4 linked regions of the Oreochromis niloticus genome follow. The protein of the gene in region 2 interacts with the protein of the main gene of each other region in a biochemical or structural test. Links are inferred from orthologs where the notes say so. Each region holds a gene or a part of one and is shown on either strand. Other genes may lie near its edges.

Region 1 (7,413 bases), on a different chromosome or scaffold from region 2:
ATATGCAGTGCAAGTAAGTGCAGCAGCAGCACGGACTTGCTGCCAGCTAAGATCAAAAAGTGGATGCTACATTTTAAAGTAAAGGTTACTATCAAAGTCTCAGTGAGTCAGATTTCTACTTCATGTTAGCAACTGTTGCTTCCTTTAGAGCATCAACAAAATCCCCTAATATGCAAGGTTTCATTAGACTGCCAAGGAATATAATGCACACTAGCAATATTTATTTGAATTGGATCATTTTTATGTTTTTTTAATTTGAAGAAAGGATGAAATCTTTGCAGACCCCTCTGTCTGCATGTTCATGGGTTTCAAAAAGCTGTTCAACTTTTGTGTTTCAAGATGGCAACATTGTAGGATGTATTCAAGACCTTTACCTCTGCAAAAAAAACAAAAAAAGTCCTGCATTGAAGAAGTTGCTCAATTAAAAGTAAGTAACCATCATGTTTGTAGAGGCTAAAAGTGTCAATCTGACATCTACTTTTTTAGTAAGTTATTGTTGCAGATGCATTTATTTGTCAGCAATATTTTACTGCTGTAGCCAATCAGGTTAGAGCTTACTGCACTGCATACTGCAAGTACTTTCATATCATTTTATTTTATCAATGCAAAATATTTGTGTCCTTAGATTTTTTGAAAAGCATTGTACATATCTAAATTATTATTATATTTATTGCTTTAATTGTTTTTAAAAGACCCCTCGTATGTTAATTATTTAAAGAAAATATTAACAATAAATGTAGCGAAGAAAAGTGTCAAAATAAATGAAAATATGGTACTGTGCAATAATCTTGAGTCCCCCTGAATTTTTATATTTTGCTTCCAAGGAAAGGCTAAACTTGTGTGTAATATTTTAAAAGCAGTCTTAAGCAATAGCTCTCCAGACTTTCTGCAGATCTTTCAAAGGTTTTTTGATTTGTTGTTGTTTTGTTTTTTTACTTTTTTCACTCATTTTCAGTCCAGTCCTTGTACCTGTCTATTTTAAGAAAAGAATATTTGGGGGGGTTGTTGTTTTTTTAAGCACTGACCTATGAATTATTCAACTATAGAGGGATGAAGCAGTGTTCTGTCTACACATAACAGACAACTTAACAAAGACCCCATTATAAAATGCATCTCCTGGAACTTTGCTACTAGCAGCCTGTCACAAAAACACATTTGTTCCTATTCTATATATTTAAAAAAAATGCTAACAATAACAAAGCTTGACAGACATAAAATTGTATTTTTGCACCAACAATGGGATTCCCAAAGAACTATTAGCCAAAAACTTGCCCCATCTCTGCATGGTGTGCAGCATGTCCTCAAAAAATGTAACTAAACTGAAAAACTATTCAGTTTTGAGAAGAATGTTATAAAAGTATGCACTACTGTGGAATCCTTTGACCTTTTCTTGACAGACATAAATCCTTCCAGACGTTATGAGGAAATGCGGACTGCATAAATAGCAGTACAGCGGTCAGGTGGTTTTATTAAAGTATCATCTGCTGGTCTAATATAGGTCATTTAATGAGGGAAAAGTTCAGCATTGATATGAGACAATAGTGGTGGCGGTGGTGACTAAAAGAGGATTGCTCATACTGGTGATTTGAAACAGCGGAGTGGGCCAGTTGTCCCTTCTGGGGTTTTCCATGTGCTGATGACTATGCTGCTTAGCTTTCACCACTTCCACAGCCGGCTAGTATTGATTATTGACTTCCAGCCAATGACTCAGCCAGCATGTGACTCAGTAAGGAACTTTTAAAAAGTTTGGAAACTGAAATCTTTAGCTTTATCTACAATAGCCCCCTCAGCAGCATTCAGTCAAAACAGACCAGAGTTAGATGGGTTTTTCTTAAGTGCCCACTTACTCAATCAAAGGCATTTTTGAGGTCAGTCAAAGTGACTTTATAGATGTTCATTTTGACAGCCGGTGCGTGCAAAGCATTACCTCAGGGGCAACGGCTTGAAACTTCGAAAGGTAAGACTGATTCACAGAGCTCATTCCTCGTGAATGCTGTCAGGTGTTTGTTTTTTTTAACAGTTTCTTTCCCCGAGTAGGTAGAAAACTGAAATGTAGTTTCTACTGTTGGGGCAGCTCAACACAGCAGTAGGAGTCTTTCCACAGGTAGGAGAAAGGAAATAGAAAGTGAGGACCAGCACAGGATAACAACAGCAAGATTAAGACGAACTATCTTCTTTCACAGCGGTAAAGTGGATATTTGTCCACAGTGGAAAAATATAGAATAAAGTTTTACCTCAGCTTCAGGGCTACTCTACATTTACGGGAATCCTGCCCTTATACCCTTATATAATAAACAATAAACATGTTTGTCAGGATGTCAAATTCTTGTTAACGCTACTTTCACTTACTGTGACTCTGGCTGGATTAATCCTCTTTTGAAATCTTTCTGGTCTTTCTAATGGTTGATTCAGCACTGAAAAGATGAGATTATAAATTATCTATCACTTAACTGAGAACAAATTTACAGACTGACATTAATTTGCGACAGTTCTGTCGTAACTGTGCTCTGCTTCTCGGCCCGTGACAGCTGGGATTTGGACCGAATACTCGTATTTGCACGTCGTGCAAAAAATACTATTTGTACTTGGTTATTTTTTCTGATTTATCTATTTTATGACACTGAAAATTAGGGGTGGGAATCACAGATTGGGTCATGGCACATTACTCTAATCTTAAGTGGCCCAGGACAGCGCCATACGCGACACAGTTTAAATGTGCATGTGAAAAAAAGTATATTTTATATTTGTGTCTCTGTGTGTGTGATCCATATTTTTAAACACAACAAAACAAAATCCCAAATATATTAATTGAATATAAGCAATTCTGATTTTATGCTTCAAAAGGAGTAGAGAGAAGTATAAACGTATACAATCCTACCGCTCCTTCCTGTCTAATGACTTAGTCAACTTCAGTTTTCCTTTAATTTATAAATGCAAGAAGTCAAGAAGACTTTAACTTAAACTGACAAGTTAATCAAAAATGAAATCAGGGGGTGTATGCATGTTTTAATAAAAAAAAAAAAAAAAAAAATTGGCCCCGGTGTGTTTTATAGTAAGTCGATGCAAAGCAATATGTCGCTCTTTAACTATTTGGTCCCAGTAGTACTGCAACTTGAATTTATGTTTTGTTTTTGATTGACTTAAGGAAATCAAACTATCTAAAAACTTTGCTTTTGTAACCTGAAGCATGCGGGCTTTTCCAACCTTTGTATTTCACCTCCTCCTGCTAAATGCTAAACTGAAACTTTATTTGTGTTGGAACACACCCATCACACAAAGGCTAAAAATATTTGTCTCTTTATGTCATCTAAATGTGTCACACCTCTTTTTCGCGTGCATTATGCTATCACATGCAACTCCAGCAAGTTGCATGTGTTAGCATAATGCATAATTTAAGCAAACGCTACACTTGGAAATAAAACATAAAGCTCTGACTACTTTTCCGTTGCAGCTTCTGAATGGTAGACCGCAGTAAAACAGTTAAGCATGCTCTGCCACATACTAGAAGCTCAGACAAGATAATAAAACTTGTCAACCACAACAAACCACAGGTGCACAAAAGACTTGTGACTTGACTGTTGTAATGATTTAGCCGCCTTGACAGCCACAGTCAGGTGGGTTGCTGGATGATGGAAGATGCACACTTTTCTTGGTACACTCGAGCAAAGATCATCTGTTGATGTTTAGTATTGAACTCACATGAAAATGAGAGGCACAATTTCACCAAGTGTCAGTTTACGTTTCCATTAGGTGGAGACATATGGAGGGAGGTTAAGAGGCTTCCTTTAAAAGGAAACCTATTTTTGTTTTGTGATTTCGGTGGGAAGAGCTAGAAACTTTTGCCAAAATAAAAGAAAACTTCACTTTACATAAACATTGAGCCAACTTACTAATGTAGTGAATGAACCAGCGGGTTAGCAAAGAGCTCACATCTGCTTCTTAAATATCTTTGAGCAAGACAGGAATCCGAAGGAACCTGAAAGTCTTTAATTATATTTAGATGATTTGCTAACAATTAAAGCACCATCGCATCATTGCTGCAATAGCTAGTCATCAGACCATGAATACACATACGTATCAGTGCATGCAGTCAGCAACTCAAATCCATTTTACAACCAGGTAATGAGATTCGTTTTCCTTACTCATTTGCTGATACTGAAGGTTAATGATTTATTTTTTTAAGGCTGTCTCATGAAATAGAGTATGACGCGAACTGCCTCCCTCCCTCAGTGACGCTCCTTTGTGCTCAGTAGGTGGGATATGCTTTTCAGTATCGAGTCAGACAGATAGTAAAGACTCCCCTGGTGGCAGTGAGCTGCAACTACAGCGGTTGTGTGTGTGAGTGTGTGTGTGAGTGAGTGAGTGAGTGAGTGAGAGAGAGAGAGAGAGAGAGGAAAATGGGTGGACGGAAAGTCCCCGTGTGGAAATCCCCTTTGACTTGGACTTTTTCCTTGTTTTAAAAAAACTATCATTATCGTACGTGTGTATTCTTTTGAAAGGCTTCGCAGGCTGCGAGGGCTCCAAAATAGATCTGATACTGAAAGAAAGAGAAGGTTGAATGGCGCCGAGGACCGCTGCGGTGAGGCTGAGTGAAGTGGCTGAGAGAGGACTAGCCTGAGCATCCGGGAGGCTTTGTTATTACCCCGACATATTACACAGGTAAGACGCCAGCCTTCCCTCCTTGTGCCTCCCCATGTGGACACACATTTCTTAGCAATTGGGTGAGACTTGGTGGGTAAGACCACGTTTGGGCCTTGAGTAATGTATGGTCGTGTTTCTGGGGACACGGAGGAAGCTTGAAGCCTGCTCACGACAGTGGCTTTGACAGCCATTGTTTACAAAGACGTCACCCTCGAGCGGATAGCAGGACATTTAAACAGCCAAATGTGGCATCGGCGAGGCTACACTGTATCGATACCCGCGCTGTTAGACGCGATTGAACGCTACATTGTTCCAAAGGTAGTTGTCATTGGAATTACGTAAGCCTTTAACGTCAGCAAAGTCTCCTGTTATTGTGTTTTTGTGTAGCCAGCCATCCTAAACCGCAGCGTCCACCCGGGTGCTGCTGTCTGTCTGCCTTAAAGTGTGCCCCGCTGTGACAGCACGCCACGCTAATGATTCGTGTCAACATGCTCCCTGACATCCAGGTGTCTGTTGTCTGGTCCCTCATGTGACTGACTAGCCCTTTAGCACGGCCTAGTCTGTTGTTGCACCTGCTGCTGTTTGGGTAGTAAAGGCACAGAGGCCACTAGAAGCTCGCTGTTCAGGTGTTTGTGGACTCGAACAGCATCTTCCGACCTGACTGGCAGCTTGCGAGAGGTTGATAGAAGGATGTTGTGGGAAGTTTAAAAGTCAGCAAAACTCCAGGCCCACTTGCTGACCATTACTTTCTACTTCCTCTAAACTGCTAATGCGTCTTCACTGTGTTGAAATGTGAGGGGAAGTAGTCCTTTAAAACCTTCCCTTTAGCAAACTTGACTCAAATAGAGTATTGGGTATAGAGGTTGTGCATTGAACCTCAGTACCTTTATACTTAAAGTATAAAAACTGCCAAAAGTTTCCCTAATTTTCCTAGCTTTCAAATTACTATAACAATTTGGGGAACGTAGCTGAATTAAAGTTGTATTTTATTTAGGGGAAATAATTCTGCAGCTGCTTTTGTTTTAAATGACTTCAGGGAGTGACGTAAACCCACGTTAGATTATCTTCCTCCTGTACTGAGAACAGTGTTTGTGTCTGTACTGAAAGCCTATAATTTTTCTAATGATTCCCAGCCTTTTAAACGGAGACTTTAAGCAGGCTGTTGAGGGAGGAGGCCTTGTGACCTTCCCATCAGCCTGGGAAGCCCTGGGTGGCCTTCAGTTAAGGTCTGGAAAGCACCCATTTATTGTTGGAAGTCTTTGAGCTCAGTGGGACACTAGGAAGCCCTGTTGAGGGAAACTCTCAAAAACCATCAAGACAAAAAGGAGAATTAAAAGAACAAACAAGAATACAAAGGGGTCTTTGTGTACTTTATTCAGTTGGGCCCAGCAGAATCTCCAGGAAAAAGCACCATACAGCCTCCACACTGGAATCATCCTTTGTGATGGGTAGTTTCCCAAACAAACTGTAAATTAAGTTGTGCCTTAAGTCTTAATTTGTAAGGAAGGGGACTCTCCACTGAAAATTTCCCACAAATCCCTGCTGTGAAATAACATGTCCTCTCCGCTTCTCTCCATCCAGTTTCCACGTTGATCCGGCATCGGTGGTTGGTGCCTCCTCCTCCTCTCCTCCTTGCTCCTCTTCCTCCCTTCCTTCCATTCACCTGGCCAGCCATCCGCCATGTCGCAGGGTCAGAACTTCCTCCCCAAATTCCTGTTTGTCTCCAACCTGCTCAAGGCAGTGAAGATCCGACAGCGAGTGCCTAACGATGTGGTGAAGCCTGCTGCCAGCGGTGGCCTCATGCACCACCTGCGGGGTATGCACCGGTACACGCTGGAGATGATCGCCATGAACCACTTCCCCCAGGCCTTCAGGGAGGTGGTTCAGGCCGCCATCCTGGACCGAGCCATGCAGGCCTCATTAGAGAAGGAGAAGAAGCTCAACTGGTGTGGGGAGCTGAAGAAGATGGTGCCCTTACGCACCAATGGTAAGAACGATTATGCTGATGTTGAGGAGCTGTACTGGAATATGGAGGCTACAGTAAACCAGATTTCTGTGGTGGTCTTATAAGTGGATGAAGCTCCACGAAGCTTTGTTGACGTTCAAGGATGTTTTATATTATTGGTTGTGTAGCAGAGGGCACCGTAAATAACTGCTGTTGGAGCAGTAGGTGACATTCAACACAAATAGAACAATTCAGCAGATTGGCCACAGAGCTAATGCTGAACCATTTCTCCTTGATTTTAGAAGCAAAACTTATTGCGCTCAACACAGGATGTGTTTTGCTTTTGTTTCATTTTCTATGAGAGAGATGGTGAGCTCTTATGAGTCAGGGCTATTTGATATGCAAATTCTGAGATGTCATTACTCACAGGCAGGGTTACTGTAAATGACAACAATCGAGGGACGCGAGTTCCGCTTTCACATAGACTCATTTAGCAGCCCCCTTGGTTTTACTGTGTCGACCTTAGTGTTTGACTTTAGGCACCCCAGTGCTAAGTCATGTTTTCTGTTACGTGAATGTTGTAAGACGGGAACATCCCAGGGCAGGCAAACATGTAAACTCGGGCCTGATTACTTCTGATCATAGTTGTGTACTGGGAAATTCTCTGGCGTCACATGCAGGACTGTTATTTACTGTCTGTGATGTTTCAGACCCAACTATTTCCACAGTTTTTCATTTACTGCATTTGGGGTATGCCCCCTCTTTTTCTGTGTAGGTGTGTGTTAGTGAATGTCAGTGGATGTTAAAAAAAACACACCGTTTTACCT
Region 2 (7,399 bases):
CACAATGCTGGTTTGTGCTATGGCTTGCTAAAACGTTTTTCAGGGTGGTAACAATATGGACCATGATAAATTGTTTTTTTTAATGAAATAATAGTTGTTTTGTTCAAATAGAAATAAATTATGCTTTCTGAAGAAAACTAGCAAGTTTAAAAATTACTTACTCTTTTAAAAACTAAAATACTTAGAATTTCATAGGGGACCTAATATTTTTATCCTCAAGAGTTCTGTAGTATCAAAATAATCCAGTGAGAGCTGTTTATACATTCTTTCACACAATTCCACGAGTGTCATCTTAGTGAAATACAAACAAACATTAGCTAAAAGATGAGTTTAATTTGTACCCTACAGCTAATCCACCTCCACGGTCATTATACTGTTTACATGAGCTTTCGCTGTAGGAGGAACAAGGAAGATTTGCCTCAGCAGGTTGAGGAAGTTTTCCTCATTTTAAAGTTTTACTAAACACAAAGAGGGAAACACACAAGTGAAGTTTCATTTTTGATTCCATTTTAAAATGACTATTTGCATCTAAACAAAACCTTAACTTTAAAATTTGATCAGCAGTGGTAAGAGCCGATGGCTTCCCGGAAACTCCAGCAGGACATGTTGAATTATCTTGTCAGTGTAATAGTTTGTTATTCAAACATCCTCTTTCCTGTCTATTATGTCCTAAAGATATAAGATTCTCAAAGATGTAACAATATGCTAGAAGTATGTGGAGTGAATACCTTGTTTTGCCATCTTGTGACATTCCCAAAGCCCCCGGTGCCGAGCCGCTCCTTCAGCTCCCAGGGCCCGCAGCTCTGCGGCTGCTGCAGGGGTACTCGATTCATGACCTCCTCACCTACACCTAAAACAACAAAAATAGTGGATCCGTCATGACCCATTACTAAGGCTAAAATGTTGCGTTTGTCCTGAAAAATGTCATGGGAGTATGCATTTGTCTGAGCATGCAACCAGTACTCAAGCAAATAACTAACTGCTTCGTCTTGAACGAATGCCTAAAAAAAGCCTTGTTTCAAGCTTCTCAGCTCTGAGACCTACAGTGTTTTCTGGTTTGTACAGGAACATGCAAAGGTCTTGAGTCAACCTTTTATATTTTGCTAGCAAAACTGATAATAGGTGCATTGATTGATTGAAACATGCAAACACACATAGAGATACAAAATAACATAACAGTTTCTACGATTCTAACAATCTTGAAAGCTTCCTATCTTGTGTTTTTCTACCCAGGTCTGTCTTTCCTGCATTAGCACTGTTTGGGATTACTGAAAGAAACGAAGCCATAGACAATTAGATTCTTTCCAGATGGTACAGTGTGATGGCTCAAAGTCTGACAGTACTTGTCTGTGTTCATAATTCCATTAAATGCAGCCCAGAACCATGACTGACTCTCCACCGTGTTTTATAGATGGCTGTAGACACTCAATACGACGACTGGAACTAGAATTTTCAGGTCTGGTTCATCACTCCGTCAGAGCTGTTGCCACTAACTTTTCAGTTCAGTTCTCGTGTTGGCCTTTTCTCCCCATTTCCCTTCCTTAAGAATAGCCACGCTTCCACTGAGACCATTTCTGATGAGGCGTCAGTGAACATTAGGTGGATCGACTGAAGGTCAGGATGCATCTCGCAGCTTCTGTGTCAGGTCTTTGCTGGACTATTTCCCATTTCTAAGAACATGAGTTTTAGTCTTGCAACTTCATCTTTTGCCTTCCACTTGTCCAGTTTCCTCAAACACACTGCACACTATGCCAGAATATGCCAACCGTTTGACTGATCGGTGTTTGGGAATCACTTGGTTGATGCAAAAACATTATATAAACATTTTATCCCCAACATTTATGCCCTTGTTTTTGTTTTGTTTGTAAATTCATCTAAAGGAATGGGAACAAATGTGTTTTTGCAAAAGACCTTTAGCGTCTGAATATACAATTTTAAGTTAGTTCTTTGCTATGTTATATGTAAACAAAACACTGGCTCATTTCTGGGTTAGGTGCCTTTTTGAATGATTCATAGGCCACTGTTAAGTGGCTTAACAAACCAAACATTCCCCTGAAAATGATCAGGTACAAGGACTAGACTAAAAATGAGAGAAAAAGCAGCGAATGTCCAAAGAGTAAGAGTAAAATGTCCAAGAGTAAAACATTAATTTGGTAAAAATGAGTAACTTGCCTATTGGTCAGGGAAAGTAAGAAAAGAAATGCTGTGTTTGTCCTGTAGGTGATAACACGTGTATACAGAAACAGAAACAACAGTGTTGGTGGCTTCTAGAAAGCAAAAAAAAGTAACAAAAAGCTGTATGAATTCCCATAAGCTAATTAACCTATTATAAAAAATGAAAAAAAAAAATCTAATTGGGAATTTATTGTATTATCAGTATTGTTATAAATGTGACTGTAGGGGTCTGATGGATGAGATAAAAGCTCTCCAAACTGTGAAACTACATAAACACTGAGTTTATGTTTTACAGCAGCTGCAATAAAAGAGACTAAACATACATATAAACATTCCTATAGGCGAGTCCAGCTTATTAAAAAAAAGCCCGCTACGTGTATATAAAGAAAACTAGCTGTCATATAGTCGCAGACTATTAAGAGGCCCATTAAACACTACAGGGGCGCTACATGCTTGAGGGGTTTCGTTTTAAGCTTCATAGACTGACTTACAGTAAATATACCGCCAACCTTTTACTCATTATAAAAATATTATTCACCGACACACAAAAATGTACTTTTCTTTTGTACTTCTTTGTTCATATAAAATGAGCTGGAACTAGTCTTCGGGTTTTATTTTCAAGGAGAAAAGCGTCAACATTTCAACTCCTAAGTCCTACCTTAGACTCCACACGCAGCGTTCACGCGTTTTCACGCCTTTTTTGTGTTTAAACGGCAGGTTTACTGTGTGTATCCGAGCTTTCAATGAGTAAAACTTTAATAAAAACTACTGCAGCACATTTGGCGACACAACAAATCTCCAAACACTCAACTTCCTGATACTGATATTTCCTGTTAACCTGACGAAGAAACAGACCCGCCCACTTGTAGGGAAAGTCCTCGGATTATGTCCTGCTGGTAGGTTTATGCACTTTTAAACCATACATTATGAGTTTAATCACGACTAAACGGAAATTTTCTTTAATTCCCCCAAATTAAATTAAGAAACCCATATCATAATTGTAGAAAGTCACTCAATTTAGAAACAAATACTACATCAATAGAAAAAAAAACTTATTACATTTTTAAAAAATTGATTATTTTAGTTTAAAAGTTAGTTTAAATGTTTAAGTGACGAATTATCGTAACTCTTAAATCATATTCCGTCATGTACATTAATAATGTGGCATCATTTGTGTCTTTCTACAGTAGCAATGTGGCGTCCAAACAGTCATACCCACAAAGGTCACTTCAGTGTCTCTCTTTAACTAGAAAAATGAAATACGGGGTCATCGAGGAAGAATGTGACCTTGCTCATCTTTCTGGAAAATAATCTTGCTGATCAAATGCTTTCAAAAACAATGGCCATCTTTTCTTGTGGGCGAGGCCATCCCAGCTGTCATAATTCAAGAAATAAGTACACCTGGATCTGTCAGGGCTATTACATTCACATTCACACCTGCGCTCTATTTAGAATTGCTGATTAACTTAACTCTGTGCATGTCTTTGGAGTGTGGGAGAAACCCACGCTGACACAAGAAGAACGACCCGGTTTCAAATACAGGACATTCTTGTTGTGAGGCAGTAAACACTGAACCACTGCATGAATGTATATATGATATCACTGCTAAGGGTACAGCAGCATTATTGTAGAATCAAACTTCCCAAACTGCTTGACTCTCCCCTCTCATCTGCATCACGACCTGACAGCTCATATTAACCTACTGCATGTCTCCTTCTTGGCTGCCCCTCTTTAGTTTCATTGGTTTCTTTTCTGTCTGGATCTTGCCCTTGTAGAGCTTTAATCAAATCCAGATGCTCAGATTCTGTGCAGTAAAAAAATTACAGAAAAAGTAATATTTATACATAAAGCGCCTTTTACAGACATAAAGCGACAAAACTAAACTAAGAATAATTACAACAAAATAATTAATAGCAATACAGGGCCCAGTTTAATCACAGAACAAAACAGAATATATAGATCATTTAAAAACAGTTAATATCAATAAGACTACAGGTTTTAGTATTTTTGGGTTGCTCCAGTCGGGGCAGGCCTACTATCGTAAAGTTGGATATTTTTAGATCAGTTAAAATCAGCTTGTTGACGTCTGTTAAAGTGTTCATCTCAGTGTTTCAGATGTTCTGACTTTGCAACATCATTGTTGATATAACGGGTGTTATATTTGGAGAAGATGCACTTCAGAGTTTCCAGAGTATACCAATGATGTTTTTTTTTCTGTTTAATCACCTGTTGTTTTTGCATGGAGTAATGTGAAAACCGACCCTTAATATAGAAACCAAACATCCCCTTGAGTTACTTGGTAAAATATATCTGTTTTTTTCTGACGTGAGCTTTAGGTGGGTATGGCTCACTTATCAGATTGGAAGTGTTTATAAAAATTGTTCCTGTTTAAACTAACATATTACGATGCTGCTACCTCTGCTGTAGTGAGGATAATACAAAAAGGCTTAATGAACCAATGGAACTTGTAATGAAAGAATTTTGTTGAGTTATTTAGCTACATTTAGTCATGTAAGCACAGCCTGTGATAGTGGCTTGAATGTAGATTTCAGTAATATATTATTACTGTTTCTTTCAGCAGTCGGTTTCAGCTGTACTCTGTGTTTTAAAGCCAACTGTCATACCAAATACACAAATATATGTTTAAAAATATAAATGGTTGAATTGATCTTTTATATATTTTATTGTCTAAATCCCATTCTTGAAACTTTTTCTTGAAACGTTTAACCAAGCTTGCCACTAGCTAGCTTAGCCTCAAGCTAAGCTAAATAACTTAAGCTACTTACTGGACAAATTTGTGGTCAGAACTCAACTGTCTCAATTGTTCATGGATTCAACAAGGTGCTGGAAATGTTCCTCGGAGATTTTGGTCCATACTGACATGATAGCACCACACAGTTGCTTCAGATTTGTTGGCTGCATATCAATGATGAGAATCTCGACCACATCCCAAAGGTGTTCTGTTGGACTGAGATCTGATGCCTGTGGAGGCCATTTGAGTACAGAGAGCTTGTTGTCATGTCACTTTTGAGATCATCTGACCTTTGTGACATAGTATATTATCATTGTGGACAGACCCAGCAGGAGCTGGGTACACACTTAAAGGACTGTGCATGGTCAGCAGCAAAACTCAGTAAGGTGTGGCATTTAAATGATGTTTGGGTGGTACTAATATCATCACACTATATATATAACCACTAGCCCTTGATACAACCTTTATATAAGGTGGTATGGATCCATGCTTTGTTGTTGTTGACAGAAAAGTCTGTAGCCCATCTGCTTCCAGAATGGACATGCTGTCTGTTCAGAGATGTTCTTCACCATACCTTGGCTATAACAAGTTGTTATATGAGTTACATTTACTAAGGCAAGTCTGTCTGGGCTTAGAAACAGCTGTATCCTCAGCTTGTTAAAATTACTTCTTGACTATTGAATTACTAACACTGGAAGTCAGAGAAAATTTAGGTACATGGTTAATATTTACAAAAAACATGGCAAGTGAAAAATGTAATATCTAGTTGATAGCAAGTAAGTTTTGATGTGTGCAAAGTCATATTTTGTATTCTTTAATATTTGCTAAAATGTAATAACATTTGTAACCATCAGTTAAAAGTAAAATTTTGTAACTGATGGTTGCTCTCAGCACAGAGTGCCCCAGATTATTTTAAAAAGCAAATAAAATTAAGTTTTGCACAGTCGTCTTTTTCACTCTATCTCAGGTTTGCTGCCAGGGAAAATCAGTAACTGTGAACTGTGTCCCATACACTTCACCGAGAAACCTTCTCGTATTCATTTTATGTGACACTCGATACCCTGATTGTGGATTTGGAGCATCCGAGCTCCAGGAATTATAAAAACATCTACCCACACATTAAGACAGCAAACTAAAATGTTTAAAACAGTGGTTTGTGCAGATGCTACAATTACTCTACATGGTTTACAAATACCTTACCATTTATGGCACAATGTAAATAAGGACAAACAAAATAAGAACATTTTTTTTTCATCACTTAACACGAAAGAGGAAGAATGCCTTAATCGGTCAGTTTCATAGTAATTTATAAGAATTTCAAGGAGATAAGAGTCTTGTGGTGTAACATGACCTGATGTAACTTCTGACCGATTCATCTGTAGTAGATTGTGTTCTCTATATGTAATGTGTGTCTTTGTTTGTGATTTTCCTTAACGAGACTTGAAAGCTAATTGTAATCCAACACAGATGGAGACAAAGTGGGACAGACGCCAAACTAACTTCCCCCCTAAGCCATTACACCCCAAATTGCTGTATTTTCAGCAATTTAATGTAGATTTAACAGCCAATAAAAACAATGAACATGAATTATTCCAAGAAAATAAAAACCTTAAGTGTTCTGAAAATGACATGGAACCACTTTTCAGGCTAAATGATTGATTTCCTGAGGAAGGGATGGGTTGAATAAAGGGGGCCTGTGGTTGTAACAAAGGGCTCCTGGTGCCAGGTGGTTAGCCACAGTGATATAGTACCACCCACAACCCATCACAGCCTCCCAGAGGTGACCTACTGTGTGAAGAACGAGCTGTTTACTAGTGGTTTTGTCACTTAACACGTCTGCTTAAAAGCTTCAGTAGTTTTTGTTCGGTTTGGTTGCACTCCAACAAATAGACTAAAAATGCGGTAGCAACACATTTGCATAGCATTCACTGTATGTAAACATACATCCTTTACATCCTTTAAATATGTCATCTATCTATTAAAAATGTTTAAAAACATTTATAACGTGCATATGTCTCTCTCTTTCTGTTACACACGCATTTTAGACTTAGACTTAGACTTAGAGACTTAGAGCTTTTTATTGTCATTGTGCAGTTTCTTGCACAGCGAAATTGGGTAGCTGGACCACAAAGGTGCTAAAATAAGAAGAAGAGAAACCAATATACAATAAGGCTGAAAAAATAAAAATAAATAAATAAATAGAATAGAATAGAATAACAAGCAGTGTATATGTATACATATGTGAGTGGAACTATATACATGGTGTATGTGTAGGAAACATTGAAACAGACTGGGACCAAAATAATTGCAATTGAGGAAGTTTTTGATCCATGCACATGTGGAGGGGGGGGAAGTCCAAGTTTACCAGCTTGTCTATAAGAATGTCTGGGATGATAGTATTGAAGGCCGAGCTGAAATCAACGAAGAGCATCCTTACTGATGTCCCAGGATTCTCCAGGTGACGCAGAGCGG
Region 3 (7,946 bases), on a different chromosome or scaffold from region 2:
GAGAGCAAATTCTTGTGCTTCATCAATCCAGCTCTTCTAATAAACTCTAGGGTGAGCAATTGTTTGCCTGGAGAAGGGTCAAGGCTCACTCTCTATCACAGCACCACATGTTACCAGGTTACTGAGTGTAGTTCAGGAACAATGAAATGCAACAGCAGGCAAAAGAAGTGCTGAAGAGCAATAGCTGAATATGGCAGCAGATACCAGTATAATTAATTATGGTACTGATGGTATTGATTCTGAAAATTTATGAGACTTTCCAGGGGGATGTTATTGGCTGCCCACGTCTGCACGTGAACACTGTTTCATCATTATAAATCACACTGCTGCAAAACCAGTCGCCCAGGGCAAAGCATCTGTAAGCTAACATTATTCCTAGTGTACAGTTAGGAGCTGAGATCATTAACAACTTTCTAGAAGCAGGGCTCAAAAAAATAAACTTGCTTACTCTGACTTCAAAATTGTATCATTGGTCTTCTGATCAGAAACTGTAGAAGCCGCTGTCTCCTTTATGTCCTGAGAAGCCCTGCCATAGAAACAGACAGGACAGTGAAATTTGGCAGAGGAGCAATCTGATCTCATTTATATGGTAATGGATGAAACTACCAGTAATTCAAATCATTTTCCAGAAAAAAATGGATACTTCTTCACTCTGCACTCTTGCGCTGTCATCTCCTCTTTGTACTCAGGCTCTTGAGTGTGCCTGTCCTTCCTCCTCCTGTATCTCAAATCAAACTCATCCCCTCTGTCAGTGTTTAGCTCGTCTTCAGAGCTGTAGGGCTCGGCTCTGTGGATTTGCCAGCGTCTTCGCCGCCTCTGAACTTGATTCCCGATTTCTCCATCGTTGAACACCTCGGTCAGAGTGGAAGCATCTTTCCTCTCGTTGTGAATGGGGACTATGTTTGTGTGGGTATGCTTGTGATGGGATGACAGGGGGGAGGCAGGGGGAGAAATTTTCAAGCCATCTGAAGCCTGAATCTGTCCACGCTGAGAATGAAAATGTGAGGAAGAAATTCAATGTGAAAAAAGATTTACTTTGTAACAGAGTGCTTTTCATTATTTATCTTTCAAGTACTCAGTGAGCTGTAGCTACCTGATAAATGGAGGCATTTCTAGTGATAGAGAATCCTTTAAAGTGTGGTATAAAAATTGCATGGATTATTGCACCAAACACACTAGTGTTATTGTGCACGATCTGCCTATTGAGTCATCAATCTTCTTACCTTGGGACTGACAGAAGATGTTCTCCTCTTTAGCGTTCTGATTTGAGCTTGTTCTTGGAGGAAGAGGTTGTATTCTTTATTTCTCTCCTCTCTCAGTTTTTCCTGCAAGAGAAAACAAAAAGTCAGAGACAAGCAGCCACACCGCTCAGTTAAGCTCATATGACACTTATAATTTAAGAAAATACAAAACTCAAACAATACCATCTTCTATCCAAAGAAGATACATATTCTGCATGCACACATTCAAGATGAAGATGAGGTTAAGGTTATATTATTTCTGAAGGAGCTGGGAATCAAAACAATAAACCTATAAATAATTTCCAATAGGCATTATCACTCAGACTAAGCACTCTCATGATAGCTTAGATGGATGCTTCAAAATCCTACAATAATGGAGTTTTGGGGATTTTTTATTTTGCCTCAATATTTCAAAAATGCTTGCATCAATACTGATTAACATTCAGCTTGTCGTGCACATATAGACACCTGAAATTGCTCTTAACTTTTGTTTGTAAGTTCACGGTTTTATACAAAGAAAATCAGCTGCCATGAAGCGCGCAGCACTGTGCAGTCAGCAGTTTATATCAGTTCTAGCTGAAGAGCTAAAGCTCTACTTTGATGACCGAACGAATGCAGGCACACCTTTACAGATATCCTCTCATCAATCGGTAGTGACACTCCATGAAGTTGTTGTTGAGGCTGTCTACTTTTCAGATCCGTTTTCTGCAGGAAGAATAAGAGATTTGCTGTGTGTCGGCAAATGCAACACAGAGACAACTTAGTTAAACACAGACATAAACTCACCAGCCACTTTGTTAGGTACACCTGTTCAGCTGCTCATTAATACAAATACCAAATCAGCCAATCACATGGCGGCAGCTCATTGCATTTGGGCATGTAGACACGGTGAAGACGATCACCTGAAGCTCAAATCAAGCATCAGAATGGGGAAGGAAGGTAATCTAAGCAACTTGGCATGGTTGCCGGTGCCAGATGGACTGGTCTGAGTATTTCAGAAACTGCTGATCTACTGGGATTTTCCCACACAACCATCTCTGGAATTACAGAGAACAGTCTGAATCCAGGGAACAGTAGTTCTCTGGGTGAAAATGTCTTGTTGATGCCAAAGGTGAGATAAGGGAAGAATAGCAATGATTGCTTCAAACTCATAGGAAACAAACAGTAACTCAAATAACCCTTTGTTATAACCAAGGTATGCAGGAGAGCATCTGTGAACCTTGAAGTGGATAAGCTAAAGCAGATAGTGGTGGTGTAATGGTGTATGAGATGTTTTCTTGGCAAACTTTGGGCCCTTTAGTACCAACTGATGATACTACATATATACAGCCTACATGATTATTGTTGCTGACCATGGCAATCGTTGTGTGACCACAGTATATCCATCTTCCGATCGCTGATTTCAGCAGGAAAATACTCCACCATGTCATAAGCCAAAATCTTGTTCAATCTATGCCACTTAGATTGGCAAAATGGGTCTAATGTGGCGTTAGGAAGGTATACCTAATAAAGTGGCTGGTGAATGTATTTTCGTAACCATTTCTGATATGTCATTCCAGATAAAAACTTCTCGTGTTCCAGTCAATTTTAAGATTAACATTTAAGATTTATTAAGTCTTAAATGTAACACTAATGAAAAAGAAATGTCTAAAATGCACATTTAGGTGTTTTATTCCATTCTGTCAATTGGATATGTATGCAAATTAGCACGTGTTTAATCAGACACCAAATCTTTTAAATAATTCAGCACAGGCTTCAAAAAAATTGCAGTACATAAAATAATTATCTTTCTCATAATTTTCACTTCGGTGGCACTTACATTAAGCAAAGATTTCCAGTTTTATTTAACTTGATATTCTGACTTTAGATTAATTATTTTTCATATACTGTTTAGTCTACTATTTAACAATCTATTACAACAGTGAATGAAAATAACTCAGTAAAAGGTTTTTATTCTAATGCCTTTGTGTGGTGCTCTGTTGTTTATTTCTGTTTTTTTATATTGAGATCGCTTGTTTTGTTTTGGGTTTTTTTTGTTTTTTTTAAACATTTTTTTTAACTGTACAACTTTTACCTCACTAAGCCAGTTTGTCTTGGCATGTTTTTTTTTTTTTTTTTTTTAAATTTTATTTTTAATAAGCTATTCTGATTTATTTAAGACCTTTTCTTATAGGTTATATATAATATTATGCCTGATGTAACAGTAAATTCCTATTGTTTGGGCTAAATTAACTATATATTATATATTATTTTATGTTCAGATTTTAATTTTATTTATTTATTTATTTTGCGTCATCACACCCTGGATATATAGTTTCTGTAGTCCAGCTGGAGCTCCTGCTGAAGTTTCTGCTTCTTCCTTTCATACTCGGTACCCAGCAGATGACTTAAGCCAATACCTGGGAAATACGGCATATATAGAGTAGACTGTGCAATAAAAACAGGAAACTATTCACTAAACACTACAGGCTTAAATAATGCAGCCAATTCACTACTACAGCCTTGTACAGTACCTCTGTCGGGATTGGGGTTTACTCCTAGAGCTGCTGCTGAAGTCATATTTACAGCATTGTGTAATTTGCACCATCTGACCCTGACTGTGGAGAAAAACTCGCTGAAACACCGATTTGTTTATTAACAAGCAACATGTGATTAAAAGAATTGCTTTTTTTTTTTTTTTTTTACTCACCGGTTGATTAGTTTACGCCTATAAACGTTGCTTCGCAAGTCCTTGATCACATATGGCGGGGAGTTTTCTCTTCATGCTTCTCAAAAAAACGTCCCATCGTGATACACAATACACCCAATAAGGCAAACATTGGACTTACAATGGGGTATATAAACATGCGTGTCTATTTTAAGGCTCGGCTGTAACTCTGGCTAGACAAATAAGAAGCCCAAATAAGATGATATATATCAATAATTCTTAAATTTCCACACACAGCTCAAATCTATCCGACCGATCTTTGACAGCGAGCTAAGCCCAAAGCGTCATTCCGTTGCCATGGGCAACCATGACACAAACCTTCTCCTGGGAGAGGCTAGCAAACACATCTAACACAAACATTCAAGAAAATATATCTAATATAGTCCAAATATTAAGTCTTTAATAACTGCAATATTTAACACTAGGATCTGATTTGCTGTTTCTTTTTAATCGTCTTTAAACAACATAAAACCAGGCAAAGTTTATCAACAACATGTTAATAAACTTAACATACTGCTGTTGTCTAAAAATGATACCATCTAGCCTTAACCAGCAGCCCTTTCGGCTATTTAGTAGCTCTTTAACTTACTAGCTGCTGCCTTTTTCCAGAATAGTATTGCCTAATTAATGAATACTAGCTTTAGTTTTATTGACTCATTAAAAACCTCAGCTCCCAGTATAAGTACAATGCCGAGGCTCTAAGAAAAAAGCCCTCACAGATAGATGTAGGTACCTTTCTAAAAAGCGCCGCTAGATGTCAGTGCGTCCCCAGCGGTTAGTTTGACGTCGTCGCAGGACTAAACCATGGCTTCCGTCACAGGGGTAAATATATTTTAATAAGAGTAATAAATACGATAAAAATATGATCAGTGAATGTAATATCATCATATATCATTGTGTTGTAGTGTTAAGAGATGGCTTATAACAAATAAACGCATCAGTGGTAAATATGTGTAATATGAAGACGAACGTCCCCGTCGATTTCACTTTGTTGCGTTGGTATCGCTCACTGTCATGGCTCCTTGAGCGAGTGGCTATCTGCTCCTAAAACGATATCAAAATCTTTCGGGGAGAAATACAGCACTTCTTCCCTTATTTAAAGAAAAAATCGGGGTTTTTGACGGCTCGGGTTTTGCTTGGATACATTATTAACATGGCGGGGAGCAATACGGCTCAGAAAACATGGGAGCTGTCTAACAGCATGCAGGAAGTTCAGAGCATTGATGAAATTTACAAATATGACAAAAAGCAACAACAAGAAATCCTCGCTGCGAAGCCATGGACGAAAGAGTGGGTGCAAAACGACATTGTGGTATTTAGGTTTCTGTCTAAGTATTTAGGTGATTGCTGAGCTGGCGTATTCGTATTACATGTTGTTCGTTGATAGTTTATTGTTAGAACATTAGTGATAGCTTAGCTACAAACTAGCAAACCGGTCTTTATGTCAGTAGCAGTACAGCAAACTGGATGTGTATCTACAATATACGCATTGCTTAATATTATCTAACATCAATGCAAATACATTTGTCATTGTTCACCCTTTAGTCACCACTACTTCAAGTACTGCAAAATCTCAGCTTTGGCCCTGTTGAAGATGGTAATGCATGCCAGGTCTGGAGGAAACCTGGAGGTGATGGGCCTCATGCTGGGAAAGGTGGACGGTGAAACCATGATCATCATGGACAGCTTTGCTTTGCCCGTGGAGGGCACAGAGACCAGAGTCAACGCCCAGGCGGCAGCCTATGAATACATGGCTGCCTATATTGAAAATGCCAAACAGGTGGGACATTGACTTCCACACACATGAAGAGCATCGTGTTTGAGTTATGACTTAGAAAGAAGGAACCGAACTATAGCCTAGATAAAATCAGACTTGATTTCGCTTGAGACATTAACTTAATACTTTCTGTGAATGTCACTGGTTTACAACCATTACTTTTTCTTTTTTTTTTACTTAAAGAAGAGTGTTTCAGCTGATTTAGAACTGTTTTTTTTTTTTTTACTTAATATCAATATGATATTTACAAACTATAAAGGGATTATTTGAAGCCATTACTGTCTTTTTATAGTATTAATATTTTGACAGCCGTATATAACCACATTTGTCTGCCTTTTCCCATGCTGGGTATACGATCACTTACCTCTAACTCATTTTCAAGCACGTTATTGTAGTTAATGTTGCAACCCAAGAAGCAGGAATACAGTATGAATATATTATAAGGCTAATAGGATTTGCACTCTTTTATATTATCTAGAAATCATTGTAAATTTTTGTGTAAATTGTACTATGTAATGAGGTTTCTCCAGTCCCTGTTTAACATACTCTATCCAATACTCTAATGAATTCAAGTGACTACACAAATGTGGAGATTTTTCTTAAAAGAAAAAAGAAAGATAGGAAAATGCTACTTTAGATAAGGATAAAAACTGTAAACTGTGTCAAATACATTAATGTTATTGACATCTTACACTGTCATAAAGAAAATATGATTTTATATTATCTATAATTCCTCAGGTTGGCCGGCTGGAGAATGCGATAGGCTGGTACCACAGTCACCCGGGCTATGGATGCTGGCTGTCAGGCATAGATGTCAGCACCCAGATGCTCAACCAACAGTTTCAGGAGCCTTTTGTGGCTGTTGTGGTAAGATGGGAAATAGTAACCATTTTTATTTTGAAACTAATGGTTTTTGTATTTTTTTAACTGTGACTTCTATTTTCCCACTTTTCAAATGGAGCTTATCCCATATCCCACGTCCCATTAATGTGGGTGTAACTGAGAAGGGGGGAAGATTACTGATGGATGAGTTGTAGATTTGCACGTAGTACTGATGAATATTTTGCTATTACAACCACATATGCTATTTACACTTCATTTGGTTTAGCGGCGCTTAAATGCCAGAGGCATCATGTAATTAAGTGTGTATTTTCAGCACACTGACAGCCCCAGTAAAAAGGCTCCTGGTGGCCACATTTGAGTCGTCCCCAGAGGTTTGTGTGACCCCTGACTCTGTTTTCCTGTTCTACTGTATCTTGCTTCCTATAGATTGATCCCACTCGGACTATTTCTGCAGGGAAAGTCAACCTCGGTGCCTTCAGAACCTACCCGAAGGTAAAGCAAAGACTTTATATAGCAGCAGTCCTCTTTGGTCTTTACTAAAATCACAAAATATCTGCTTTTTTATTCTTCTTGTGCATAGCTATATTTGATCATTTTAGTAGTTTTTATATACTGATGTTATTGTTGTGTATTTATTAAGAATATATTTATAAATTTATTTTCAGTCACTCTGTATTCTTAATTCCTTATTACTGTAGTAATTGCTAGGTTCTTAGTATTTCCTTTTTGGATTTTTAGGGTTACAAACCCCCTGATGAGGGACCCTCAGAATATCAGACTATCCCCCTGAACAAGATTGAAGACTTTGGTGTACACTGTAAACAGTGAGTATTTATATTTGCTACAGTATTGTACCGGATCAAATACTTGTGTAGCATGTACTGTATCACACATTTTTCACTGTTTACTTTATTTTCAGTACTTGCATATGCGCTTCTTTTTTCTCTGTCTCTCTCCTTTTTAGGTATTACGCTTTGGAGGTTACTTACTTTAAGTCCTCCCTTGATAGAAAGCTCCTGGAACTCCTTTGGAATAAATATTGGGTTAATACCTTAAGTTCTTCAAGTCTCCTCACGGTATGTAGGGCATTTCAAAAATCAAAATGTTTGCTATTTGTTTGACATTTTGATTTATGGTTAATTATTACTCTATAACTCATTTAGACATGTGGTCACCAGCTTGTGATGTCATGATTTATTGCTGCTTATTAGCTAAGCGTCCGTGTTTGTTGATTTTAGTAATAAGCTGTACGTGAACTTTTTTCACAATGGAGATAAGTATTAAAGCTGGAGCCGACTCCATGATGCTCCTTTTCCCCCTTGCTGTTCGTTCGAAAGCCTGAAAGCCCCTCATGTAAATTTGCATTGAGGCTGCAGGA
Region 4 (6,977 bases), on a different chromosome or scaffold from region 2:
CTTCCGAGAACTCATCTTCGTCTTCCCTAGTCTCCCTCTCCACTTCTTTGAAAAATGGCCCTGCATAGCATGGATCCCCCTGACTGACACAGCCCCTGAGCCCAGCAAGGGCCAGTGAGCAGTCTCCCACACTGCTAAGAGAGTCCGAGCTGCTGTTGTGCTCATATGACCGAACACTGGAGAGGTTACCCAAAACTGGCCAGTTCAAAGGGGAACAGCTTGAGCCTTTGTTGTAAACTTGTTGGCTGTAAAAAGAAGCCCTTCGGTCGTCTTCCTCTGAGCTTTCAAAGCTGCTACAGCAAGAGGTACTGAGATCGCTTCTCTCTTCAACAGAAGAGTCCTCCTACAAGAAGAAGAAGAAGAAAAAAAGTTTTTAGACAAGATGGTGTTTACATCCTCCAAATTTGCTCTAGGCTTAAAAATTCAAGGCCAAAAGAGGCGGGGCTGTTGGAATTCAATGTTTCACTTCCACAATTTAGGAAGGGTAATGTTTACATGGGGACTTCTAGAGATTAGGACCCTATTGTTGAAGATGATTTAAATTCTTTTAACAGCACAGTATACTAAATATTCAGACTCAGAGAGATGTGAAGAGTAACCTCACCAGGATCGGGATCAAAGAACTTCCACTTTCTTGTTCAGGCACTCCAGAAGGCATTCGACGTCTCTGTCGCTGCTTGTCCTTCTTCTTCTGCTGCTTCTTCCTCTTCCCCTTACGTTTCTGTCTCCTATGGGTACTCTTTCTTGGGGAGAGTATTGATGTGCTTGCTTCCTGGATGGTGGCCATTGTTTGGCACGCCACATTGTTTTGGTCAGATGAAAGACTTCAAAAGAAATTCGAAGAAAGCAAAAGGAATTTAAGGCATGTTTACACAATTCAGCACAGACCCTTGAACAGAAATTTAATTTATAATGCGGAGAATGTCCCCAAGATCTTACCTGGTGGTCAAGCATTTAGGGAAGGCACGGAAGGATCGTTCATAACAGGAAGGGCTAAACTCCTGGGAGTCCTGGGTTTCACCTAAAAGAGCACAGTGTTAATGTAAAATTGGCTCACAGGAAAGTTCATTGATGTGATACACTATAAAAATAAGATATATTTACATTCTGCCTGAGCAACAATGGTTGAGGTCTTGAACTGCATTTCTTCCACTTGTTCTGCAGTTCCATGTGTCAGGAGTTTAGTGAGTTTATCAGCAGACCACTTTTGCGTAAATCCCATTTTGCCATCCTTCCCCTCCTCTTGTGCCTCCTCAGTCTCCTGCTCTGCATTGGAGCATGATGGATATGTCCCCTTCAGGTCAGCTTTTGGTGGTCCAGTGAAAGGCGCTGTTGAGTTGAAGAGCCTCTGTCTCACCGCCATGTTATCTTCTAAATCTGCAAGAGACACAAGCAGCTGATAAATAACGATTTTCCTTATCAACTGTATCCTGCCTTTATGTTTTGTCTTTAATCTTAAATAAGAGTTAATCAATTTGGTTTTAGTTATAGACGCCTGGGTTGTTTGTGTGGCTATAACCAGAGAGTTAAAAGTAACTTTTTAGTATTATTATTTAAATATTAATTAGTGAATTTGTCTTTGGTCGAGGGCAACATATTTGGCTCCTTTATAAACTGAGCTTTCGATTTTGATGAACATGTTACTTCAGAGCTCACAGTGCGTCATATTTATTCAGTTAGTCAGATGCTTGCTGCGACTCATCAAGAGTGACCTTTAGAAATGTTGTGAAGTTTGTATAAGCATAAACCATTTCTCCAAAATGTAACAAAGGACTTTTATCTGCTAATGTGAGCGTGGGAGTGAGGATACCTAAAAAGGGGAACAAATGGATACTGAAAACTAAACACATCTCAGGTTAAAGGTTGCATTGCATTTTGCTGTTTGTTTTTGTTCATTTTTTCTTAATTTTTCGTTCTTAGTTTGCATCTATGGCGCACTTTGCAAATACTTTCCACAGTGCCATTTGCCTGCTGTAATCGAGCACAACAGAAAAGCTCATAAATCTGACTGAAGATGAAAGGTTTATGACAGAAATATACACCCATGCATAAACGCAAAAATAATTTGATCTGCTTCATTATGGCTCGTTTGAAGTTTAACATATTTTACTGCGCCACACATGTTTAGGAGCGCAGATGAACTGAAACTGTGAAATTTGAGGTGGGCAGATGAGACAGGAAATTAAACCCCGGCCTTGTTTTCACAGTTGCAAACTCTGTCGCTCAGTGCATGCACTCTGTTTCAGTCAGAGGAAGTAACCTAGGCAATGCCTGGGCTGCACAGCCTGGACTAATTTGAAATAAAGATTTGCATGGCTGCCTGTTCACACCTTAAAAGTTATTACCAGCACAACAGGTAAGACTGTAAAACCAACACAGGAAAACTACATGCAGTTTAAAAGGCACAAACTGAGAACTACATTTAGAGCACTACAGTTGCAATTAGTTGCGTCAGTTTGTCCATTACACTAGTAGCTTCTCACATAAAGATTAAGCCTAAATTCTTGACTAAAACAATCACATGCACGCTGCATGTTTTTGCTGCTGACAACACCAATAAAGTACAGATACAAGTAAGAATACAGCAAAAAATAAGATCAAAACATAATCAAAATTACGTTAAAGCTGTTTGAGTTTATTAATGATACTACCTTGTACGCAGACTTCATGCACCGCAAGATTATCTAGAGCGAAGCAACTCAACTGTCACTTCCGTCTTAAGACGCTGCACCACCACACCCCAATGAATTTACGTGGAAAGGAAATAGAGAAAACCCCACTGCAACAAACAGGCACAAAAACAGACTCTGTATGTGTGAGCCGACGTAGCGGGCAGACATACCAATAGATGCCAGTCTGAACTGCATTCTCAAGTATTTGTTCTGAATAACCTGTCATCGACACGAACTAGGTGCTCCGTTTGCGTGCCTTCATGTTCGACTTTTCAGTAACGACTCGGCTCAGTTGCTGCTGCTCTGCTTTCTGCTCTCCTGATGCTGGCTTTCAGCCAACTGGGGGGAGGAGCTGGCTGACTATGACTTATGGGAAATGCATCTACACTTCCCCATATTCCCCCCTCCTTCTGCTCCCTCTAACAGGGCTGGTTTACTTACTCTGCCCTCTTGAGTACTACCAATTAAAGGATAACAGGTTTGCTTATGGGTATGATGACAAAAAAAAAGTGAACTATGAACTGTGATGAGAGTAGTGGTAATATCTAAACCCTTTCAATCTTTGCAGACTATCAAGATACAAGGTTTTAGTGAGGAAGAAGCAAAGGATATGATTAGTACAGCCGAGCACTGAATTCAAATTTGTTTAAAAGCGAAAAATCAGTTAAAAAAAGTTTCTTTACTGGGTGAAAAACAATTTCAATTCTGTGTGCACATTAAACCAGGTAGTCTGATAATCACCCGGAATGGATAGTCAACTTTCTGTACACATTCACACCACTAAATGTGAAGGGATTTGTGGCCTTTCATTTGCTCTGATATTCTAATAAGTGCGTGCCCTGTAGCAAGCCAACATTCAAGAGCACGTCACATGTCATGTCACACGCCCACATTCTCCACTATATGTCCTGTTGTTAAAACAACAAAGAGTTTCTTTCTTTATGAAAATGTGGCAGTGTGAAAACTCACATTATGAGCATCTTCTTGCGAAAAATTATTTCCGAAAACAGTGTTTAGACTGAGGCAAGCGTATGAGCTGTCAATAATCTGATGGCTCTATCTGAAATAATCTCACTTGCTTTTCTCTTGAGCAGAAAAACAACTTAGTCATACAAAAACCACTACAGGAAACTCGGAACACCACTTGACAGGTTCTGGTACATGCCATAATCGAAAAGCTCAATGTAAGTTGCTCACTCCACCCCTACTGATAAGGAAACTGTTTGTCATGACAACAATATCTCTGCTAAACCGACATAAGCTTGAGGACACAGGTACAGACATTGTAGACAGTCAAAGCATTTTGAATTTTGTTTTTGGTACTCTATTAGTCACCAACTTCACATATTATGACTCATAAAAATGGCAACAATTAGTACCAATTATCAGTTCATCTGCCAATCATTTTCTCATTTACTCATTCTGTCTAGAGCTGAAATATTTAGTCAGTTTAGCCACAACATTATGTGCAACAGATTAACTGTGTGACAAAAAAACAGTCAAAAGTTACTAGTTCAAGGTTCAAGATTTTAAGGTTTCTTTTAATATACCACAGTGACCAGTGTTTTTGTTTTGTTTTGTTTTTTTTGTTTTTTTTGGTGTTTTTTTTTGGGGGGGGGGTTTGCTTTGCAATTTGCTGGTTTTGATTTTTAAATTTCATGTTTTTAATTGCCTCTTCATATTATTAAAAGCTTGACATAAATTCTGCTTTGTTTTGGGTTTTTGTCCAAAAATTCATTTACATTCATTTGTGGTCAAATTGTTTTAAGCTGTGAATGAATCTGGAAACAGACAGACCAAAAGACAGCTCCCTGGTACTACTGTAAAACAGATAAGAATAGGGCTATACGTCTCAGCTTTGGGCACACCACCAATTCTGACCATATTCCAAACATCATTTCTAGAAACCCTATACCTGAAATGAATCTCCAATGATCTTCACTATTGCCATATATTGCTCATGCAGTCCTGAGAATATTTCACTTTTTGCAAAGGAAGTCTGTGCAACTCTAAGGTCATTTTTTAACTTCTATTCCAACTTTCTGCACTGACAAGCATGGCATTTTACTAACTGGAGAAATGGCAATGACTGATTATCAAATTCTGCAAATTAATTTTGCAGGTCAAGTAATCAAAACTAAAGTCTTTTGATTTACATGCAAACTGAACCTACACTTCCCTGTCAGTGTCATCAGAAACCTAAACAATTATGTTTTAGAGGAGTTTTGCACCCTAAATGTCTACACATATCTAATAAACATGTAACTAATAGTGCACACTATAAACTTTAATCCATAATGATCTTTGCTGTGGACATCTTTAACTAAACTGTAACAAAACATACAGTTGGTGACTGTACAGCTTCTGCTGCTCTGTTTCTCTCACAGAGATTAATGAAATTCCAAAGCCTTTAGTAACGACAGCTAAAAGGGACTCAGAATACACAGGCAAGAGTTCCTTAAGAGAACCGGTGGCTGCTTCTCAGGAAAGCATTCCAGTCCTCAACTACACATCCACAAGGTTGCAAAAAACATCTGCAGGCACACATTTAAATGCATCTCCAAGTACTCAGTCATACCCCTTGTCTAATGTCTAACAACTTCCCTTTTTCTAGTTACTTCCTCAATATTAACTTCAATGAAGAAACAGTCAGTTACAGTAAGAATGCATAGTCCTCTCTTTGCTGCACATTATTTCCATTAAACTGAGATGTTCTATAAACTCCTGGCATTTTAAAAGAATAATAACCCAGGAAAATTCTGAGCTAAGCCATTGTTATTAATGTTATCCTAGTTTTTCTGTAAACATTACTGGGTTCTTTGACAAATTAAAATTAATTCGGAAAACAGTTTTCTCATGAATCAATATTAGAAATGCGTATTTGACACCTCAAGAAAAACATTCCCCTCCATTTCCCAATGCTATTCAACATAAGTTTACTAAACATGGCCAAAGTCAACAACTCTAAAAGCATGTATATTATAATAATGTTCTACTAAGCTGCAATCTTTCTATACATTTTCTATATAGTGAGCTCATCTTAATACAGTCATATTTGCACTTTCCTGCTATCTTGCAAAGAAAATGAGAACAGGATATTTGCACAGGAGGAACAAAAGGTTTTTCGTTTAAGGGTGGACCTGGACTAGTGCTGATTCGCTTGTAAATGCAGGCCAGGAGTTTGACTCTGGGCCAAGAAAGATCTAGCAAGCATTGTTGCGGTATGGAGGCCCAGCATAACTTGGACCTGAAAAATAGGACCTGCCAAGAGTGACTAATGTAAACAATTACATCTGGTAGATGTAATTGTTTAGCTCTATCAAGATTACATGGGGGCTCTAATGTTTAAATGAAACAGATAAGAGCATAAAAAGATATATGACTGCATATATTGCGACAACATATAATAACATACATAACGGCTATTCTTATGAGGACTCCTATAACAAATATAGCAAGTTTTTTTTCTATCACTAATATGCTCTTAAAAAAATTTTTTTACCAGGTAAGAACATCAACCTATTCATGTTTAGAGTTAGTACAGCCTTTGTGACAAAAAATAAAAAATAAAATGAGGGTACCACTGAGAAGTATGAGCAGTACGACGGTAATTATATTCTGTACAGTAAAATCTACAGTAAGCCTCTATAACAATTTACCTTTGATAACACCTTTGATGTTTAACTATTTAGCGATTCATTTAAAAATGAACATAATTTGACTAAACAGTAATTTCATGTGTATACACGCGCTGTTATTGTGTGCACGCGCACCAACTTCCTTCTAGCCACATTCACCGCCATTTCACATAAAACTTGGGCCCAAAATGTTTGAACTATTCGTTAAACAGTCAAACATGTAAATCAAGAAATCGAGTTCTCGACAAACAGCGGGAAACACTGAAGTCAGAAAGCTCTTAACTTCGTTAAACCGTTTATGATAAATACTATATATTCTTCACTTACCGTATTTCCCGTAACTAGGCGTCGGCCGATGGCGATCTTGACATCATGTAGCTTCTTTCCTGTTTCCGCTTGAATTTCGAAGTAGTGTTTGGGTTCCCTTAATTTTTACAATAACAACATTTAGCGCCAGAATGCAAAGACATATTGCGCTATTATTAATCACTGACTGTAACAGTATGTTTAAATGTTGCTCGGACTGAGCACAATGTTTGCGTGTGGCTGTAAGTTATAGTTGTGCTTTTAATTTGAAGACAAAATGCTCTCTCTTCATGTATGCGTCTGTTTTTAATTTAAAGACAAGAGGATAAGCGGTCATGCAGCGTGAAAGGGGAGCTGTTTA

The links.
Region 1: of the proteins of ikbkb (region 2) and tnfaip3, one has a biochemical effect on the other in vitro, tested with the Homo sapiens proteins (2 studies listed by BioGRID and IntAct). The link is inferred for Oreochromis niloticus from reciprocal best matches to the Homo sapiens genes IKBKB and TNFAIP3.
Region 3: of the proteins of ikbkb (region 2) and cops5, one has a biochemical effect on the other in vitro, tested with the Homo sapiens proteins (2 studies listed by BioGRID). The link is inferred for Oreochromis niloticus from reciprocal best matches to the Homo sapiens genes IKBKB and COPS5.
Region 4: of the proteins of ikbkb (region 2) and map3k14a, one has a biochemical effect on the other in vitro, tested with the Homo sapiens proteins (3 studies listed by BioGRID and IntAct, with this or other methods). The link is inferred for Oreochromis niloticus from reciprocal best matches to the Homo sapiens genes IKBKB and MAP3K14.

Annotation. Positions count from the first base shown.
Region 1 is NC_031978.2:11,429,201-11,436,613, forward strand, and holds the start of tnfaip3 (tumor necrosis factor alpha-induced protein 3), read left to right. Parts: upstream 1-4,399; 5' UTR 4,400-4,659; intron 4,660-4,752; exon of another isoform or gene 4,753-4,959; intron 4,960-6,222; 5' UTR 6,223-6,321; coding exon 6,322-6,628; intron 6,629-7,413. UniProt on the Homo sapiens protein: Ubiquitin-editing enzyme that contains both ubiquitin ligase and deubiquitinase activities.
Region 2 is NC_031977.2:25,966,296-25,973,694, forward strand, and holds the start of ikbkb (inhibitor of nuclear factor kappa-B kinase subunit beta), read right to left. Parts: upstream 3,015-7,399; 5' UTR 2,834-3,014; intron 851-2,833; 5' UTR 834-850; coding exon 729-833; intron 1-728.
Region 3 is NC_031974.2:19,440,061-19,448,006, reverse strand, and holds the start of cops5 (COP9 signalosome complex subunit 5), read left to right. Parts: upstream 1-4,925; 5' UTR 4,926-5,101; coding exon 5,102-5,238; intron 5,239-5,493; coding exon 5,494-5,728; intron 5,729-6,463; coding exon 6,464-6,592; intron 6,593-6,994; coding exon 6,995-7,060; intron 7,061-7,306; coding exon 7,307-7,392; intron 7,393-7,532; coding exon 7,533-7,644; intron 7,645-7,946. Other genes in the region: cspp1a (centrosome and spindle pole-associated protein 1), read right to left, coding at 449-526, 644-987, 1,224-1,325, 1,866-1,946, 3,543-3,640, 3,755-3,800. UniProt on the Homo sapiens protein: Probable protease subunit of the COP9 signalosome complex (CSN), a complex involved in various cellular and developmental processes.
Region 4 is NC_031969.2:25,786,132-25,793,108, forward strand, and holds the start of map3k14a (mitogen-activated protein kinase kinase kinase 14), read right to left. Parts: upstream 3,010-6,977; 5' UTR 2,868-3,009; coding exon 2,843-2,867; intron 2,780-2,842; exon of another isoform or gene 2,652-2,779; intron 1,378-2,651; coding exon 1,105-1,377; intron 1,022-1,104; coding exon 940-1,021; intron 825-939; coding exon 605-824; intron 344-604; coding exon 1-343.